Linked DNA regions of Kluyveromyces lactis. The protein of the gene in region 1 purifies or fractionates together with the protein of each later gene. This does not show direct contact. Links are inferred from orthologs where the notes say so. Each region holds a gene or a part of one and is shown in the gene's direction. Other genes may lie near its edges.

Region 1 (3,728 bases):
AATGAACCAGGTGTTCAAGTCTTGGACAGCATTCCACCTTTGGAGCAGTTGATTGAGAAATATATGCTACCCAAGTTACTTGATTCAGAGGATGAAGACAGACATTTTGTATCTTTTGATAAAAAAGACGAGGTAGTTCTCCTTGTCAACAATTTAGGTGGTGTGTCTAACTTCATCTTAACTGCCATCGTTGATATCACGAAATCTTTTTTACAAAAGAATTATGACATTACTCCAGTTCAAAGTATTTGCGGAACTTTAATGACATCTTTCAATGGAAATGGATTCAGTATCACGTTGTTCAATGCGTCAAAGTCATCTGGAGCTATCAAGAAGGAGTTCAGCGAAGTAAAATCTGTGCTTGACTTATTAAACGACCATACAGAGGCGCCAGCATGGCCAATAAAAGATGTCGAAATGGGTAAATCTCCTACATATGACGAGGGTATTCTCGAGGATGTTATTGACGTTAAAAAGGCTGGAACATACGACTTCGAGAAATTATCGGAGCTGTTGAAGGCAGGTGCCGATCAATTGATTAAAAGTGAACCTCATATTACACATTTGGATAACCAAGTTGGTGACGGTGACTGTGGTTATACGTTAGTAGCTGGCGCTAAGGCAATCACTGAAAACTTGGATAAAATATCCTCCAAGTATTTGTCTCAGACCCTTGCAGAAATTTCTGATCATATTGAATCCGCAATGGGTGGTACATCCGGTGGTTTGTACTCTATATTCATTTCGGGCCTTTCAAAAGGAATTATTGAACAATGCGGAGAAAATGATGCGGTGGACAAAGAAGCCTTCGCCAAATCGCTAGAAGTTGCATACGAGACATTGTGTAAATATACTAGAGCTAGGCCAGGTGATTCTACTATGATCGATGCCTTGGAGCCATTCGTGAAAGAGTTTAGTTCAACTCAGGACTTCCATAAGGCCTTTTCCAAGGCGGAAGGAGGTGCAGAATCTACAGGAAACTTAGAAGCCAAGTTCGGCCGTGCATCTTACGTGGAAGACACTGAAGCAATTCCGGACCCAGGAGCTATCGGTTTGGTCGAATTCCTCAGGGGTGTTGATTCCAAATTGTAGATTCATTTTCAAATGAGCTGCCTCCTTTATTCTTTCCACCTAGTTATTATTTTATAACAAACTATATACAGCTTCCTACATTAACCAAATTTATGACCTAGCGGTAATTGCAGTATCATACATTGTTCCTCCGGCAACAGGGGGGTGGGCCTCGACCTGATAGTTCTTCGTGTGTAAAAACTGTCTCTTTTCCGTTCACTCCCCCATCTTACCTCTTGTCAACGTGACGCGAATTGGAAACTTTACTAGAAATGAAAATGAAAAATCGCCAAAGTGTTTAAGATGTTGTTAAAACATGAACAAATAAGAAGACATATGAAACCGTTAACGGTAGGCAGAGTTGTTAGCCCATAGTTTACGTTAGACAGGTCAGTATTACTGAAATCTAGTGATCTTCGTCTTGGATACCTACTTTTTATTTCTTATATTGGGATAGTGGAGAATGAGTACAGATTTCGATAGAATTTATTACAACCAATCCAAGCTCGGTGGACGTTTCCGTCTAGCTGAAGGAGGTCTTGGTTGGAAGGCATCCGCTACAGGTGGGTCAGCCTCTACTCAAAATAATGAACCTTTGCTATTGGCTGCAGATGAGGTTTCTTCCGTTCAATGGAGTAGAGGATGTAGAGGCTACGAATTGAAAATTAGTACTAAGAATAAGGGATTGATTCAAATGGATGGGTTCCAACAAGAGGATTTCAACCTATTGAAGAATGACTTCCAACGTAGATTCAACATGCAATTAGAGCACAGGGAACATTCTTTACGTGGTTGGAATTGGGGTAAATTGGACTTAGCTAGAAACGAAATGGTTTTTTCATTGAACGGTAAGCCAACTTTTGAAATCCCTTACACGCACATCAATAACACTAATTTAACAGCAAAAAATGAGATTGCATTAGAATTTGACACCCAAAATGAGGCATATAATCCTGCAGGTGATGAACTTGTTGAAATGAGGTTATATGTTCCAGGCACAGTTGAAGAAAATGAAGATCAAGATCAAATCATGGTAAAGGACGAAGCAGAAGCAGAAGACGGTGTTAAGTCGGAGGTTAAGACGGAAGAGGGTAGTGAAGAACCAGACGTTCAAGAAGAGAAGACTTTAGCAGAATATTTCTACGAAGAATTGAGATCTAAGGCAGATATCGGTGAAATTTCTGGTGATGCCATCATTTCTTTCCAGGATCTGTTCTTCACTACGCCAAGAGGCCGTTACGACATTGATATCTACAAAAACTCTATCAGACTTAGAGGTAAGACTTATGAGTACAAGTTACAACATCGTCAAATAAACAGAATCTTCTCTTTGCCAAAAGCTGACGACATCCATTACTTGATGGTTTTATCGATTGATCCACCAATCCGTCAAGGTCAGACATCCTACCCATTCTTGGTGTTACAATTCCAGAAGGACGAGGAAACAGAAGTCCAACTAAATGTGGAAGATGATGAGTTCGAAAAGCTTTACAAGGATAAACTAAAGAAACAATACGATGCTAAAACTCACATTGTACTAAGTCATGTCTTAAAGGGTTTGACAGGAAGAAGAGTCATTGTTCCTGGTGAATACAAGTCTAAGTATGACCAATGCGCGGTATCCTGTTCATACAAAGTCAATGAAGGCCACTTATACCCATTGGACAATGCGTTTTTGTTCTTGACGAAACCAACCCTATATATACCCTTCCAAGATATTGCTGCGGTCAATATTTCAAGAGCTGGTCAGACATCTACATCAGCCAGAACATTCGATTTGGAAGTTGTTATGCGTGCCAATAGAGGTACTACTACTTTTGCTAATATTTCTAAAGAGGAACAACAACTTCTAGAGACATTCTTGAGGTCCAAAAACTTGAGGGTAAAGAACGAAGATAAGGAAGCAGAACAGAGACTGCAGACTGCCTTCGGCTCAGACAGCGATGATGATGATGTAGATATTAACATGGGTTCTGCAGGTGAGGATGAAGAATCTGTAGATGAAGATTTCCATGCGTCCGACGAAGATGACGATGTCGCTGAAGAATTTGATTCAGAAGCATCCGCCTCCGATTCAGAAGGTGAAACCTCAAAGTCTGAAAGACCTTCCAAGAAAGCCAAGTTGGAATGAAAAACTCATATATCATGTATTAGTACAAATAAATAAATAAAAAACTATATACACTCCTCGCGGTATTTGTCGAATAATGTGTCTTTCTTTTGTTTGATTGACTAGTTCTTTAATTTTTAGTACATCTAAATGGCTTGACAAAAGAATAAGGGTCCCATCCAGAGAACTAAACTTCAAAGGGTTGAGAGAAGGATAATTTTGCTAAGCCCGTAAAAGTATCGACTGCTTTTTTCATGCTTCAATCATTTAATGGTTCTGTAAGAGTTATTCTATGACTTCTGGTGAAAGATCCTTAAATCAAGAACTAGAATGATGAAATGAATGCACAAAGAAATTTTGATCCAAGATAACTCGCTTCATACATTCGAGGTATATTAGATATTAGTATGATAGCTACAGACGGTACCTTAACTATAGAATATATCATAGAGATTCCTGGAGTTGACGAATTGTCCGGGAATAGTTTCTTTTTCACTATAAGAAAAGATTCATAGCTAAACGACAATGAAGGGTCGGAATTGACTTT
Region 2 (4,412 bases), about 190 kb from region 1:
AGAATGATGCTCTTGCAACACCACCATTCACTTCCTTGTGAATGCCTTTTAACACTTGAACACGTGAGCGATGATCTAAGTCATAAAAGATCAAATCACCACTGGTTGATGCTACTGAGATATGAGAAGCACCATCCGTTCTGAAAGAGATTGAAGAAATTCTCGTCGGCGTTTTAATGGTTCTGATTTTCTTACCCTTACGCAAATTGAATAAAATAACTTCACCAGATGATGTACCAAAGGCAACGATGTCTAAAGCAGGTGCAGGTTCAGCAGTGGTGATCTCATCGGGGAACTCATCGGAAGTGTACAATTGTTTTCCGGTCCGAACGTTAAACAAGGTGAAATTAGACTTAGTCACAACGAGCAACTTGTTAACATATGTTGGTAAATGCACCAAATCAACAATATCACCACCTTGTAACTTACCAATGGTGAAATTGGTGTATAATTCAGTAGCGAATTTATCAGATGGGGAATTTTTCTTATAGATATAAACAACATTATTATCTGTAGAAGCAATCAAATATTCACCGAAAACGTTAATTTTGGTCACCACGGTATTTGGATCAGGTAATTCAATCAAATGTTCTAGCTTACCTCTCTTATAGATCCCAACTTTATTCTTAAAACTTGCATAAACGTAATGAAAATGCGCTGCCAAACAAGTAATGTCTCCCTCTGTCTCCTTATCTGAAACGAATAGCAGATGCAAATTATTGGCATCAAAGATCTGAAACGACTTACCAACAGAAGTCACAATGTAGAAGGTCGTACCTAGGGTACCAATCGCATAAGGAACTCCAGTAGATACATTACCTACAATTCTATACGGAGAAAATATTCTGGAAGCATGTTTCCTAACAGCGCCGGAAGAACCAACTCTTCGTTTCTTTAACGATCCATCCACTGTCATGATTGCTAATGCACTGTTCTGTGACTTTATGCAATCGCTTAATTAACTGAACAACAAGCGAATCCAGTAATTAGCTGCTGACGATAGGTATCTATCTCATCTCATCTCATCTCATCGCTTCTTTAAAACGTCGAGCTTCGAAATTTTCATCGCTGAAACAGAAAAAGAAATCAGAATATCACGTGACACATAAGGGGGATCAACCTGCAAATGTGATTCTTAGACTTGGATAGAGAAGATACTATGTAACTTCACCATTAGATGCCATTAGATAGTAACCATACCACAGTCTGAAATCTCACTAGCGAAACACATGGAGGTGTTGCTTAGATACTGGTCTTTACTTCAGAATTACTCACAGTTTTCTATCAAGTTTTCACTATTATCCTTCACATATAAATTTATATACAAAATTAAACACATGGGGAATAATCGTACCATGCATCCGCTTATAACAGAAATCGATTAATTGCAACGATCTACAAAATAATTTTAACTGAAGTTTCAGCATTGGTTATAATCAAATTGCAGAACTGCCAGTCATGTCTTCTCCAGGTTCAATTTCTGATGAGGGTCAAGAGGCAATCAACGGAAATACCATGCCTCCACTGTTTTTAGATTCGAATACGAAAAAGGCTATGGAATCGATCGCTCCTATCCTTGAAGGGTTCACGCCGAAGACCTCTTCTAGTGAGAATAAGTCGTTGAAGTTGCCACCTGCTGGTTTTACCTCTGATGATGATGATGAGACAAATAAGCTCGTCAGAACGCTTAGTATTTCTTCTACTGGTTCGACAGGTCGTCATATGACTCCCAGTGTCCTAGGCACCTCATTCGATAGCATGAATGGTAACAAGCTTCAAAGACTGAAAAGTAACCAAAGTGGATCAGCATCAGTTTCTGCTATTCTGGAAGGATCGCCTAGTCCATCTCCTATGCTGGAAGAACCTCATGCATTCCCCTTCATTCCGCAAGCATTAGTCTCTAATGAAGCTGTCACAACCAACACTGACGGATCAACAACTCCAAGTTCGACAAATTCTTCGAGGAAAGCTTCAACTTCCTCGTCCAAGCCTCAGCTACCAAAGATTGGTAAAATTGGTGTTTGTGCCATGGATGCGAAAGTGTTATCCAAGCCATGCAGACATATCTTAAACAGACTAATTGAACACGGTGAGTTTGAGACTATAATTTTTGGCGATAAAGTTATATTGGATGAAAGCATTGAAAACTGGCCTACTTGCGACTTTCTAATATCATTCTTTTCCAATGGGTTCCCTCTAGAAAAGGCTATCAAATATGTCAAGTTAAGAAAACCATATATCATTAATGATTTGATTATGCAAAAAGTATTGTGGGATAGAAGGTTGTGTCTCAGGTTGCTGGCGGCAAGCAACGTACCTACCCCTCCTAGATTGGAAATTACAAGAGATGGTGGTCCCAAAATTGATGATGAACTGAAATCTATGCTTGCCGAACGTGGAGTTATTGTTTCAACTGTTCAAGAACCCAACTGGAGAATGGTGGACGATGACACCTTGGAAGTTGAGGGTAAGGTGATGACCAAACCATTCGTTGAAAAACCTGTGGATGGTGAAGATCACAATATATACATCTATTATCATTCGAAAAACGGAGGCGGTGGGCGTAGATTATTCAGAAAGGTCGGTAATAAATCTTCCGAATTTGACCCTACTTTGATTCAACCTCGTACTGAAGGTTCATACATCTACGAAAAATTCATGGATACCGATAATTTCGAAGATGTGAAAGCATACACTGTAGGTGAAACTTTTTGTCATGCTGAAACCAGAAAATCCCCTGTAGTCGATGGTATTGTGCGCAGAAACACTCACGGAAAGGAAATTAGATATATTACTGAACTTTCTCCAGAAGAAAAAGAAATGGCTCGTCAAGTGTCGAAGACGTTCGCTCAAATGATCTGTGGTTTCGATTTATTACGTGTTGAGGGCAAGAGTTATGTCATTGATGTTAATGGGTTTTCATTTGTCAAAGATAACACAGAATACTATGATGCCTGTGCCAAAATTTTGAGAGATACCTTCTACAACGCCAAAAAATTGATGGACCTAGAAAAGCGGAACCTTCCTGCAATTCAAGAGGAGAAAACTCAAAAATGGGTATTTAAGGGGCTAGTTACTGTTATCCGTCATGCAGACCGTACACCAAAACAGAAACTCAAGCACTCGTTTACCTCTCCGATATTTTTGTCTTTATTGAAAGGTCACAAAGAAGAAGTAGTCATAAGAAATATCAATGACTTGCAAATTGTTCTGCAAGCACTCAAAATTGCACAAGAGGAAAATGCTGAAGATCCAGCGAAACTTGCTGTCTTAGCAAACGCTTTGGAAAAAAAAATCAGTTTTCCTGGAACTAAGATTCAATTAAAACCAGTTCTGAACAAAGACAACGAAGTGGAGAAGGTTCAATTCATTCTCAAATGGGGTGGTGAGCCAACACACTCCGCTCATTTCCAAGCTGAAGAATTAGGTGAGCAGATGAGACAAGACTTTGATTTGTTAAACAAGAACATCTTGCACAACATCAAGATATTTTCTTCTTCCGAAAGGAGGGTTCTAGTTTCGGCCCAAATATGGGCCACAGCTCTATTCGGTGCGGATGAAATTAGTAGCGACGAGATCAGTATAAGAAAAGACTTGCTAGATGACTCCAATGCAGCTAAAGACCTTATGGATAAGGTGAAAAAGAAACTAAAACCATTATTAAGAATGGGGAAGGAGGCACCACCTCAATTTGCTTGGCCTGCTAAGATGCCTGAACCTTACTTAGTCATAAAGAGAGTTGTTGATTTAATGAACTACCATAAAAAAATCATGGATCACAACTTTGCTACAAAAAACGTTGAAGAAATGCAAACATGCTGGTGCTGTGCAGAAGATTCAATGCTATTCAAGGAGCGTTGGGATAAGCTGTTCAAAGAGTTTGTTACTGTGGATAAGGTAGATCCATCCAAGATTAGTGAATTATATGATACTATGAAGTACGATGCTCTTCACAACAGACAGTTTTTAGAGCACATCTTCATGCCTGATGATGATACTGAAGTTGAAAACGAAGAGGTCTGTCATCATTCTTTGGTTGACAGGTACCCCATCAATATTTTAGCTAGAAACAACTTCAAAATCCCAGACTCTTCTAATGCCCAAATGACTAACCAATCTTCCTCTAATTCAAAAAGTTCGAATAGTGTCGGATCTCTTGGATGGGTTCTTGAAAGTGTTGAAAGCGGATCCAAATCACCCCGTTCTTCGAATTCCACATTCGATGATCCGAAGTTCATTCAATTAAGGGAATTGTTCAAGCTTTCTAAGGTTCTCTTCGATTTTATTTGTCCCCAGGAGTACGGTATTGAGGATAATGAGAAATTAGACATTGGCTTGTTGACATCTTTACCATTGGCAAAGCAGATCTTCAACGATATTGATGAAATGAAGAAGAAAGATACACCAGCATG

The links. The genes of interacting proteins can lie anywhere in the genome.
Region 2: the proteins of POB3 (region 1) and VIP1 purify together in Saccharomyces cerevisiae (affinity purification with mass spectrometry; 3 studies listed by BioGRID). This does not show direct contact. The link is inferred for Kluyveromyces lactis from reciprocal best matches to the Saccharomyces cerevisiae genes POB3 and VIP1.

The regions. Positions count from the first base shown.
Region 1 is NC_006038.1:444,598-448,325, forward strand, and holds POB3 (FACT complex subunit POB3), read left to right. Parts: upstream 1-1,534; coding exon 1,535-3,202; downstream 3,203-3,728. Other genes in the region: DAK1 (dihydroxyacetone kinase), read left to right, coding at 1-1,092. UniProt on the Saccharomyces cerevisiae protein: Component of the FACT complex, a general chromatin factor that acts to reorganize nucleosomes. The FACT complex is involved in multiple processes that require DNA as a template such as mRNA elongation, DNA replication and DNA repair.
Region 2 is NC_006038.1:250,951-255,362, reverse strand, and holds the start of VIP1 (inositol polyphosphate kinase VIP1), read left to right. Parts: upstream 1-1,458; coding exon 1,459-4,412. Other genes in the region: rRNA-processing protein UTP21, read right to left, coding at 1-916. UniProt on the Saccharomyces cerevisiae protein: Bifunctional inositol kinase that acts in concert with the IP6K kinases to synthesize the diphosphate group-containing inositol pyrophosphates diphosphoinositol pentakisphosphate, PP-InsP5, and bis-diphosphoinositol tetrakisphosphate, (PP)2-InsP4.